Schizosaccharomyces pombe: one gene and its partner. The gene in region 2 interacts genetically with the main gene of each other region. Each region holds a gene or a part of one and is shown on either strand. Other genes may lie near its edges.

Region 1 (3,989 bases), on a different chromosome or scaffold from region 2:
CTCACGGACATTGCCGATGTCCTCAAAAAGTGCAAGATTGACGGTGTGATCGTTGGTAATACTACCGTTCAACGCCCTAAGACCCTCAAATCAACTAGCCATGTTGAAGAGACGGGTGGTCTTTCTGGACCTCCTCTCAAACCTATCGCATTAAATACTCTTCGCACACTTCGTAAGCATCTTTCTTCCGATATTCCCATCATCGGCTGTGGTGGTATTTCTTCTGGCAAAGATGCTATTGAGTATGCTCGTGCTGGTGCAACTATGGTTCAAGTTTATACTGCTTTGGGATATGATGGTCCTGTAATTGCTCACAAGATTAAGCAAGAGATTCTTGCCGAGCTTAAGGGCAAACGTTGGGTTGACATAATTGGCAAGGAAGAATAGATTGGGATGTCAGTATATTTCTTTTAAAGAAAAAATTCAGTGTCGTTTACTGGTACATTATTATAGTAAAAATTTAACATATTATAGAAAATAATACTCACGTTCTTCTAATTAAATATTATAAATGAATTACCTTTTGTTTTGCATACCTAAGTTTGCTTGTGAAACTATTATGTCGCTAGTTTAATTCTATTATGAAATTAGTCATTCAGGCATTTCTTAGTAATCTCGTAAATCCTGCCAGTCTTGCTTGTCTTACATTTGTGAATACCTATTTACTTAAATCTGATTTAAAAAACATGCAAACTTATATAAACTTAGAATGAATGACAAAGTTACGTTCTTGTAAGATCGTCGCCGCTTTCTGACCATTACGCAGACATTAGAAGTTCAGAGCTCAACTTCCCATAAATCAAAAAAACCATGTTTGCTAAAAACTTACTTTTCAGATTTCCAAAATGTATAAGGATTAACGGTTACAATAATATGAGAAGGTCTCTACTGCAGAGAAATGGATTTCAAGCAGGCATTTGTCGAAAATTTGGTACTGCAACCAAAACTGATGTATGGAAAGGCCGTTTTTTGCCTATTGTATCTGGCGTTGCAGCTGCTTCTTTGACTGCTGGATATTTACTTGGAAAAAACACTTCAAATGCATCATCGAGTCAAGATAATGACCATCCTGTTGTAGGCGAACATGTCCATACGGAAACACAATGTAAGTATCATATGTTTGAAATGGCTATCTTTTTCTGTACGATTATATGAATTTAACTAACAATATAGCGTATAATGAACCATATATGCAGCGACACCGAATTGAAGATGCCATTGAGAAGAAAATGACAAGTGAAACACAACCTTCGACTGACGAGAAAGGCCGCAAGGTCAGCGCTACTGAGAATAGTGCACCGAAGAAAACTGATAAGGAAAAATCCAGCGGGGAGACAGCTGGAAATATACTTCGAGAACAAATAGCCACTGGTAAAGATGATGATGAATATGCTAGGAAATTTGAGGAAGTGGAGGAGGAGAGCAGCGAGGAGTCAGCATTTAATCCGGATACTGGAGAGATTAACTGGGATTGTCCCTGTCTTGGAGGTATGGCTCATGGTCCATGTGGAGAAGAATTCAAAGCAGCTTTTAGTTGCTTCGTTTATTCCAAGAGTGAACCAAAAGGTATGGAATGTCTTGACAAATTTCAAGCTATGCAGGCTTGTTTTCAAAAACACCCCGAAATTTATCAAGATATGGTAGGGGAGTCTGAAGAGGAAGACGCCGAAACTAATGAGAAACCATCGACTACATCTGACGAAAATAATCAACCACAATCTCCACCCTCCGATAATGCATCTAATCCTGAAGAAGACGTTATGAACATGGAGAAAGAAATTGTTAATCTTACACCTATGTCAGTTATAAAGGAAATTTAAAATTTTCGAGGCGCTCCGTTTACTATTTAAAATCCTTCAACAATATGAAATTGAAATTATTCAATTAAAGCATTTGATAGTGATCTCGTAACGAACATATAATGACTCCAACAAATGGAGTAAGTTTAAAGTATTAATGTCTTACATCGGTTTTAATAGTTAGCGGTTCTACAATAAAGTGGATATTAAATGATAATTCGAATGGGGAATCTTGATATTATAGGTTATATTGCAATTGTCGGTAAAGAATCATAAATAGGAAAACTAAAAGCTACTGCTTGTCATTATGGTTAAATTGTATCCAGAGCTACATTGTAAGGAGCAATCTCTGTTAATCTTTTCAAAAAAAAAAACAATGGAAATTCATGGGATTATTCTATCTATTATAAATCTATTATGAATAAACTACTTCTTTTTTAAGTGCCAACTTTTAACATTGTCTTCATGAGTAGGAAAATAATGTCAGTTCGATAATAGGGTAGGGTTAGAAATGCTTCTAGGAGAGGAATCCAACTTCTTATGAAATTTGCCCTTTGCCTGTCTCTCTACGAATAATTAACATCATGTCAACTGAAGAACAGAAGGAAGAAATTAAGGACATCTCATCTAAGCAGGAGAATTCTTCAGAGGTTCCCAAGGCCGAGGAAGCTGGAAAAGTAGTAGAAAGTCAAAAAGATACTACTAGTGAAGAAAAAAAGGAGGAAACTACTGAAAAGAAGGAAGATGATGGAAAAAAAGATTTATCTTTTGATGAAGCTGAAGTTTTAAAGCAAGTTGGTATGTTACACACTTTGTTTACGTTGGATTAAAACCTTTTTTGTGTTGAGTGGTCGTTACTAACAGTATGAATAGAATTTTATTTTTCGGACACCAACTTACCCCATGATAAATTTTTATGGACTACTTCTCAAAAAAATGATGGATGGGTTCCCATTCAAACAATTGCTAATTTCAAACGTATGCGTCGTTTTCAGCCTTTGGAAGCCATTGTAAATGCTCTTCGCAAGAGTCCTGAACTTCTTGAAGTCGATGAAGCTGGCGAAAAAGTACGTCGTATGATTCCTCTAGTTCGTGTAGACAACAAGAGCGTCATGGAAAGAAGTGTCTACTGCAAAGGTTTCGGTGATGAAAAAGATGACACTCAAATTGCTTTGGAAAAATTCTTTGAAGAAAATGCTGGTCCCATTAGTGCTGTCCGTATGAGAAGGGATGACGATAAAAAATTTAAGGGAAGCGTATTTGTTGAATTCAAGGAACCCGATGTTGCTAATAAATTTCTTGAGAAAGTCAAAACTGCACCTTTGAAATGGGGCGAGGACGAGCTCACTATAATGAGCAAAAAGGAGTATGTTGACATGAAAGCTGAATTACATAAAAACGATCCACCAAAGTTTAGCAGCAAACGCAGACGTTTTGACGCTTTTAAAGAGATGGATCGTCAGCGTCCTGGTAAATATAGTAACAGAGGAAGAAAATTTAAGAAGCAAAGGTCATCTAACGCTTCTGAAGAGAAGCCTTCGGCCGCTTCGGAGTAAAATGGATTAATTTTGTTTGTTTGTTTGTTTTACAAATACTTCAAAGACACTGGACAAATAAACTTTTTCGGATTGGTTATATTAGGAATTTTGGATGAATAAATAGTCGTTTCATGCAGTTATTTTGTACAATATGACCTCGTAATTTAATGCTTAAATCGTAACAATATTCGGCTATAAGTTTTGCTATACGAATTTTAAAGGTTTTGAATAATAGCAATAGTTTTTTGCTTCATCACTTATAATGTATCGTACTGAATATTTTAAATTTCACATGAGTTAATATTAAGTCCTATTTCTTTACCAGTACGACCAAGCTTGCATTTCAGAAGTTCTCAGTGGAATTTGCAATGATCAGAATTGACTGAATTAAGAACTTGTATATTTCTGGTGGATATCAACCATACAAGAATCAACTTTAACAGTAAAAATAAAAAAATATCAACCTTAGAACCATGCGTCTTTCACATATTTCCGACTGCACAGTCAACATAGGTTTACAGTTCTCGATTGCTTGACTGGGCTACGCTATCGATCCTACACATCAATATGTTCTTCAGAATACAAAATATAGTGAAGCAAAAATAGTTGACCTTCCTATAGCTTAATTATAACTGAGACATTGCTTAAGCTA
Region 2 (8,185 bases):
TGAAATTTTGGTCCATTGGGTTCATGCAATTTCTTCCTTCGGGTTACCTCTTCATCTCCTTTATTTGTGTAATTTGGTAAGTATCTAATTAGTTGATTTTCATTCAAAATAACAGGCCTGCCAGCTGTGTATCTTGGACTAGTGATATTGATAAATTTTCGTGTCTGAAGCAACCAAGGAACACTTCGTCCGTTTAGACGCAATCCCATCACATTTATAACTTTTATTGCATTAAAACGATCCAATATCGAGGCAGGACAACATTTCATGAGCAAACTGTTGTTGGACGAGTTAGTACCCCACCAACGAAAGTAACAATACCAAAAATTGTTGAAGCAAAAGAATTAAGAAAATATTTGCACCTTCTTTAAATAATTATGTAAAAAAGAAGAATACGGTTAAACAATAAATCATTTTAACATTGCTAATTGTGTTGCGGATACTATTAGTTTAAACAAGTATTTAGTATGGAATACACAAACTAAATCTTTTTTGTACTAGCCTGTTTATAATTTGCATAAACCTTCCGAAATAACATAAAGAATGAAATTGTATGTACTATCCAAAAACCTAAAATACAAGGAGTATTTAAACTGTGCTCCACTTTACCTAAGATTTTGAGTCAACTTCAGCGATAGTTCTTTTACCAGGTTTACTTTTTGGGCCCCAATTTTCAGTTGGGTTCATTTGATATCGAGTATAACCTTCTTTTTTGGATGCAAACTCGGAATCGGGCCTGAATGTAAAATCAACCTCAGCTGTGGGAGTTTTTTCCAAAATCGCTGCTCCAGCAGATGTTTTACTAATATTTTCAAGCTTCACTGGATGATCTTTAATCCAAGAGCGCAAAACATCCCAAACGAAGGACCAGGGAGCATTTGTTTTAATTGCATTACTCTTGGCATGAGAACCAGAAACCCGATATCCAGCGTTTAACAAAGCTGAAACAAATATATTTTGAGGAGGAGATTGGGAGCGCAAGACGCTACAAATTTGGGATAAAACAAAATAAAATGGAACATCTGGTAGTTCTTCATCAGCCAAAGCGAGCATACCTAAGATTCTTCGTTTAGTGCCATAGACTTCAGGGTCTAAATCTTCTGCAATGGCGCGCATTTTTTTGAGAAATTCTGCATCATGTAGGGGTCCACCCCATAAAGGGCCTCCAACATGATGCACATATCCACAATGTTCACAGTTAGCAGATACAGGAGGCCCCGAAGCATTAGAGAATTTGGTGGTTCCAGGTAGTCTTCCCGGAGAAGTTTTTCCAAGTGGTTGCTCGGCAAAGCTACCGCAGCCTGAACAATGGTATATCAATAGCGATTGACTTTGTAAATTTTTTACGAGAACAGGCTTTGCTTTAATTTGAACAAATACGCGAAAGTAAAAATCAATACTTAGGGAAAGTAGCGGCTTGATAGCGCGACCATATTTTGCAGCAGAAGCTGCAATAGCATAAAGCAAATGACGAACAGCCTGCTCATGACAAAAATTAGAGCGCAAAGAGGACCCACCATAATTAGAAAAGCATTTCTCTGGATATGCATTACCGGCTAGAACAGCTGAATCAGTACATGTGATGCATAGAAGACCGTCCTTTGAAACGGATTGTACAGCAGCATCCAGAAACGGGGCAGCAGATCCATAAGGATCAAGGTCAATCACATCGTAATGAAATTTGTTCATATGCATAACAGCATTAGCGTCTCCTTTATTAGGAATTACTATATCGCTCACATTATTGTAATTAACATTCTTCTCGATGGTTTTCACAGCATTTTCTAATAAATCATTTGCAAGTATCCTTTTGACATTTGGCAACTCCTTAGCATACCGAATGGAACGCAATCCAGTAGCGGAAAGTGCTTCTAAAATGGTAAATCCAGCAATATTATCAGCTGAAGTAGAATCTGTCTTTTCCGAACAGTTTTTTTCAAAATCATGAGTTGTATCACATTTAGTAAGATTTTCTTGGCTAAGTTCGGAGTTTTGATCGAGAAGCTGATGCCGGTGATGAGATTTTGCAACAATTTTTTTGGATCTAGTTTCCGACCAAGCACGAATAGCTGTAACGCTTAAATCTCTATTAAATTGTTGTACGGGGTTATAAAAGACTTCATTCGGATTTGAAAATGGTATAATTGCACTACCCTCGGTCAAACTTGCAGAAGCCCCCGACATCATGGCGGTTGAGAAGTGATTCACAGCATTTGAGATCCTTTGACTTAATCTTAGCATATTGGCTTCATACATTTAATACGAATTAAAGAAAAATAATCGTTAAAAAAAAAGAAAGTATTGATTATTTTTGAGAGTAAATTTGCAGTAATTCATTAAAAAAATACGAGATGTGATAAGTCAACCATAAATCGAATTACAAAGTATTGTATAATACATGTAATCTTGTAGGTTTAGGTAATTGACAATAAGGATAATAAGTAAATGGTCTTTTAGTCTATGACTGGAAAATAACTTTTCTTAGACGTAGTAAATTAATGAAAAAGAGAAAAGAACTTGAATAGAAATACTTCAGAAATTAGAACTTCGTCATTACATTCACTGAAGTAGCCATTTAGATTTGTAAAGTATAGAGTAACGAAAATCTAATTAAACATATTAATTTATTATTGCTAAATAGGTTATCAGTAATCAATAATATTTTTTTTTTGCTTTAACTTATCTAAAAACCAAAAATAACTAGTCATCTAAAAGTCCTCATCGATTGTAAATGTATGATCATCCTTCTCAGCGCGCTTGGTACCCGACATAACGCCAGCAATTTGGTAGTCAGAAACTTTCTTTTCAAAGAAATTTGTTTTTCCTGCTAAAGAGATATTCTCCATGAAATCGAAAGGATTGGTTACGTTATAGTACTTGTCATTGCCCAAAGCAACCAACAAACGATCAGCAACAAATTCAATATACTGACACATCAAATCCTTATTCATACCAAGCAGACTAACGGGAAGAGCGTCCGTGAAGTATTCTTTCTCAATATCAACAGCTTCAACAATAATGGCTTCAACAACCTTGCGGCCTGGTCTGTGCTTCAAATGACTAAACATCAAACAGGCAAAGTCGGTGTGAAGACCCTCATCACGACAAATCAATTCATTGGAAAAAGTAAGACCAGGCATAAGTCCACGTTTCTTAAGCCAAAAAATAGAGGCAAACGATCCAGAAAAGAAGATACCTTCTACAGCAGCAAAGGCAACCAAACGAATTGCATAGGTGGAATCTTCATCATTAATCCAACGAAGAGCCCACTTGGCTTTGGCCTTAATAGAACCCATTGTTAAAATAGCATCGAAATGACGCTGTTTTTCCTTAGGTTCACGAATGTATGTATCAAGCAAAAGTGAGTAGGTCTCAGAGTGAATATTTTCAATCATAATTTGGAAACCATAAACACAACGAGCTTCAGGGATCTGAACTTCAGAGCTGAAACGCTCGAGAAGATTCTCATTAACAATACCATCTGACGCAGCGAAATAGGCGAGTACAGTGGAAATAAAGTAACGTTCATCAGCATTTAACTTGTTATCCCAATCAACCAAGTCTTTCGAAAGATCAATTTCCTCAGCAGTCCAAAAAGATGCTTCAGCCTTCTTGTAGAATTGCCAAATTTCGTGATACTTAATTGGAAACAAAACAAAGCGGTGAGGATTAGGGCGAAGCACAACTTCATCAAGCTCATCTTCCTTTTTGCCCAAGTAGTAGTCGCCTCCTTCCTGTTTCTCTTCTTCACTTACATTATCAAAGTTAAAGGTTTCTTTAATAGATTTAACATAAATTTTACGAACACCTTGTTCGCTATCATACTCGACTTCTTCACCATGTTCCTTAGGATAACTGAATTCTTCGAGATGCTCAAGGCCCATTTTGTAAGATTAATAATGAGATTTCGTCCAAACTGACCGGATTTATCTGTATATAGAATAAGTACAAAAGTTTTCTTCCACCGCGATTATCTCTTGCGATGTGGCTTCCCAAGATGTGTTGTGGTTAATGGCAAAACTTTCAAAGGTAGGTTATCCAATGTAGTGCACAGTATTGTAGTATATTCAACACCACCGTTTTTTTTGTGGATGTTAATTTGTCGCACTTTGGGTATGATAACACAATGAATAAGAGTGAAGGCAAAATAGACAAAATGCTGCCTTATTTTACAGAGTGGAAAATTGCAGTTAAACTAAGTCAAAGGCTGATGGAGATGAATAACGTTGAAAAAAAACAATGTACTAATTAATATTTGGAGACAAACGCAACGAGTAAAAAAAATGAAATAAATTCGAAGACAATCTCAAATTAAATGGGAAAAGCAAGGGCTTACTTCCTTTCCCTTCTGGTGTGTTATAATAACGGTTTCTTAAAGCAGGAAATTGTAGCTAGTTAATAGAAAAATGTGATAGCTTAAATCGAAGAATTCGATGCTAAGCGTGGAGTCGAATAAATTCAATTATTTAGGCTCAAATAATTGAAAAAATAGAAATGAATTTATTACTTTATGTAATAAATAAATTATTAAATTTCTCACTTTTTGTTATAATTTAATAAAGTAGTTTTCAGTGTAATACTTAAGACGCGTCAGGGTACCTCAATTTATGTTGTAGATGAAACGCAATGATATCAGCCTAGTAGTACGATATGATGTTAGAAATAAATATCTCTTCACAATCTCCTTTTCATCCGAGATGTAGAGCGCTTTATAACTGCTCAAATATTACAAATCACGAAACTTCTAATGCGACGCGACCGTACATAAAGACATTGCTTAATTAAAAAAAGATAAGCGCGACAGAGACCTAGCCACATACTGTGAATAATTTTAATACCTTGATCCTTTCGTAAAAAAAAAAAGAAATACTTATATTCGTCTATTGTAAACAGAAAATAAATAAGCATTCCAATAGCACGTTTCTATTGCGTGTTGTGCTTTTAGGTACAGTTTACAATGTGGTATAAAACAATAAAGAATTTTCTATATTCATTCTTCACTGATGTTTGAAATAACCGAACAAAAAATAAAAAGTTCCCTACTCGAAGTTTTTATATTGTTGATATCGCATTTCTTTTGAGAATTTCCCTGCTAACTTACTTCATAAGTTTTCAAAAAAATTTTTAAAAATAAAAGTGAAATAAATTTTAGGCAGTAGTCTAAATAACTCTCATGTTTAGAAATACAAAACGTGTAGAAGAAAAATAGGAAAAATTATGGATAGCTAAAATAACAATCGATTGAAGCAATGAAAACAATTAGACATACATTTATGAAAATAAAATGACCAATTTATTGTCTGGCAAAATGATTATTATTAATTTAAAACAAATAAACTGTTTATTTATACATAGTGAATACTCTCCAAAAAAAATTTCTAACAGTACTACATAGTGGCTTTTAAAATCAAACTGAATGTTTACTTTTGCTGCGAGAGTAATAAATTAAAAAGGAAATATGTAGAGAATCAAAAAAATTATACACTGCAATTTCTTTAGAGTCAATGACAATTTGTATATGCCCTAAGTTACAATATTTACATTTTTGTTACCTTACGAGTTCGCGTTGATTCATACTACCAACTAACTAAAACAACCTAAAGAAGAACCTTTCTTGGTATCTTACCCTTACTTAATACCCTTGCTTTCTTTTTGAACCTTTATATTTTTTGCTAATTCAGCAGAAAAGTTTTGGGATACTTTTTTGGTTTGAAAAGCATGGCACTTCCCACCATAGATTTAAAAATCCCAGAGTATGAAGAATGTCAACATAAAATTACGGATTTTCTATCCCACTTCAAGCAGGAACAGGTTCAAGATGGACAACAAAATCAGGATATTTCGATGTCGGATGCAGGTGATGAGCCTTTTTTAAAATCAAAGTATATGGATATACTACAAAAAATCTCCAATCGAGAGTCAAATGTTATTAATGTTGATTTGAATGATTTGTACGAGTTCGATCCAAGTGATACTCAGCTTTTGCATAATATTGAATCTAATGCTAAACGGTTTGTTGAACTTTTTTCGCAGTGCGCAGATGCGTTGATGCCTCCTCCTACTGTGGAAATTAATTATCGCAACGAAGTACTTGATGTAATTATGCAGCAACGTGTTCAAAGGAATGAAAATATAGACCCTGAGCATAAAGGATTTCCTCCTGAATTAACCCGAGGTTATGACTTATACTTTCGACCAGTAACTCGCAACAAAAAACCATTCAGCGTTCGTGATTTAAGAGGCGAAAACTTGGGATCTCTTTTGACTGTCCGTGGTATAGTTACTCGTACAAGTGATGTTAAGCCTAGCTTAACTGTAAATGCTTATACATGTGATCGATGTGGGTATGAAGTGTTTCAAGAAATCCGTCAGAAGACATTCCTTCCAATGTCTGAATGTCCTTCGGATGAATGTAAAAAGAATGATGCAAAAGGTCAGCTTTTCATGAGCACAAGAGCCAGTAAATTTCTTCCTTTTCAGGAAGTAAAAATACAAGAATTAACGAACCAAGTACCTATTGGCCATATCCCTAGATCATTAACCGTCCACTTATATGGTGCTATCACTCGCTCTGTAAATCCTGGCGATATCGTTGATATTTCTGGTATATTTTTGCCGACTCCGTATACTGGTTTTCGAGCAATGCGCGCCGGGCTCTTAACCGATACTTACTTAGAATGCCATTATGTTTCACAAATCATTAAAAATTACACAAATATTGAAAAAACTCCTCAATCGGAGGCTGCTATCGCTGAATTAAATCAAGGAGGCAATGTGTACGAAAAACTGGCCAAGTCCATTGCTCCCGAGATATATGGACATGAAGATGTTAAAAAAGCTTTACTTCTGTTGCTTGTCGGAGGTGTTACTAAAGAGTTAGGGGATGGAATGAGAATTCGTGGTGACATAAATATTTGTTTAACTGGTGATCCTGGTGTCGCAAAATCTCAATTATTAAAGTATATTTCGAAGGTTGCCCCGAGAGGAGTATACACCACAGGTCGTGGATCTTCAGGTGTTGGTTTAACTGCTGCTGTAATGCGTGATCCAGTGACGGATGAAATGGTTTTAGAGGGAGGTGCCTTAGTACTTGCTGACAACGGTATTTGCTGCATTGACGAATTTGATAAGATGGATGAAAGTGACCGTACAGCAATTCATGAAGTAATGGAACAGCAAACTATTTCAATTTCAAAGGCAGGAATCACTACGACTTTAAATGCTCGAACAAGTATTTTGGCCGCTGCGAACCCCTTATATGGACGATATAATCCGAAAGTGGCACCAATCCACAATATAAATCTTCCAGCTGCACTGCTTTCCCGGTTTGATATTTTATTTTTAATTTTAGATACTCCTTCTCGTGAAACAGACGAGCATTTGGCACAACACGTAACATATGTTCACATGCATAACGAACAACCTAAAATGGACTTTGAACCATTAGATCCAAACATGATTAGGCATTATATTTCTTCTGCTAGACAATATCGCCCAGTCGTACCAAAGGATGTATGCGACTATGTTACTGGTGCTTATGTTCAACTTCGACAAAACCAAAAGCGTGATGAAGCCAATGAGCGTCAATTCGCTCACACTACTCCACGTACACTTCTCGCTATTTTGCGAATGGGACAAGCATTAGCTCGTTTGCGTTTCAGTAATAGAGTGGAGATTGGCGATGTTGATGAAGCTTTGAGATTAATGTCTGTTTCAAAGTCATCACTATACGATGATTTGGATCCTAGTTCTCACGATACTACTATTACCTCGAAAATATATAAAATTATTCGAGACATGCTTAATAGCATACCAGATGTTGAAGGCAATGAACGCTCACTTACACTACGTGCTATTCGTGAACGCGTACTTGCTAAGGGTTTTACTGAAGATCATTTAATAAATACAATACAGGAATATACAGACCTTGGTGTTCTTTTAACTACAAACAATGGTCAAACAATAATGTTCCTCGATCCGGATTTACATATGGAGAATTAACAATTTACTAATAGATAACTCCTATCATTTAATTTTTCTGCCAATTAATTGCTTTAAGCTAATTTACAACCTATAGAAATTATTCTGAGACGTCAAACTACTTTTCTGTTGAATATTCTTTAATTCTGACTAATACATCTGTCGTTCTTTTAATCTATGATAGTTTATTTACTTGTATTCAAAT

The links. A genetic interaction does not mean that the proteins touch.
Region 1: mutations in trm1 (region 2) and sla1 are lethal when combined (synthetic lethality), as found in Schizosaccharomyces pombe (one study listed by BioGRID).

What each region holds. Positions count from the first base shown.
Region 1 is NC_003424.3:1,381,908-1,385,896, reverse strand, and holds sla1 (La-motif domain-containing protein), read left to right. Parts: upstream 1-2,348; 5' UTR 2,349-2,383; coding exon 2,384-2,597; exon of another isoform or gene 2,598-2,672; coding exon 2,673-3,355; 3' UTR 3,356-3,489; downstream 3,490-3,989. Other genes in the region: mitochondrial dihydroorotate dehydrogenase Ura3, read left to right, coding at 1-387; disulfide relay system thiol oxidase subunit Mia40, read left to right, coding at 811-1,105, 1,174-1,820.
Region 2 is NC_003423.3:3,717,454-3,725,638, reverse strand, and holds trm1 (mitochondrial tRNA (guanine-N2-)-methyltransferase Trm1.1), read right to left. Parts: upstream 2,257-8,185; coding exon 610-2,256; 3' UTR 501-609; downstream 1-500. Other genes in the region: mrh5 (RNA helicase), read right to left, coding at 1-269; ribonucleotide reductase small subunit Suc22, read right to left, coding at 2,709-3,884; MCM complex subunit Mcm7, read left to right, coding at 5,719-8,001. UniProt on the Schizosaccharomyces pombe protein: Dimethylates a single guanine residue at position 26 of nuclear- and mitochondrial-encoded tRNAs using S-adenosyl-L-methionine as donor of the methyl groups.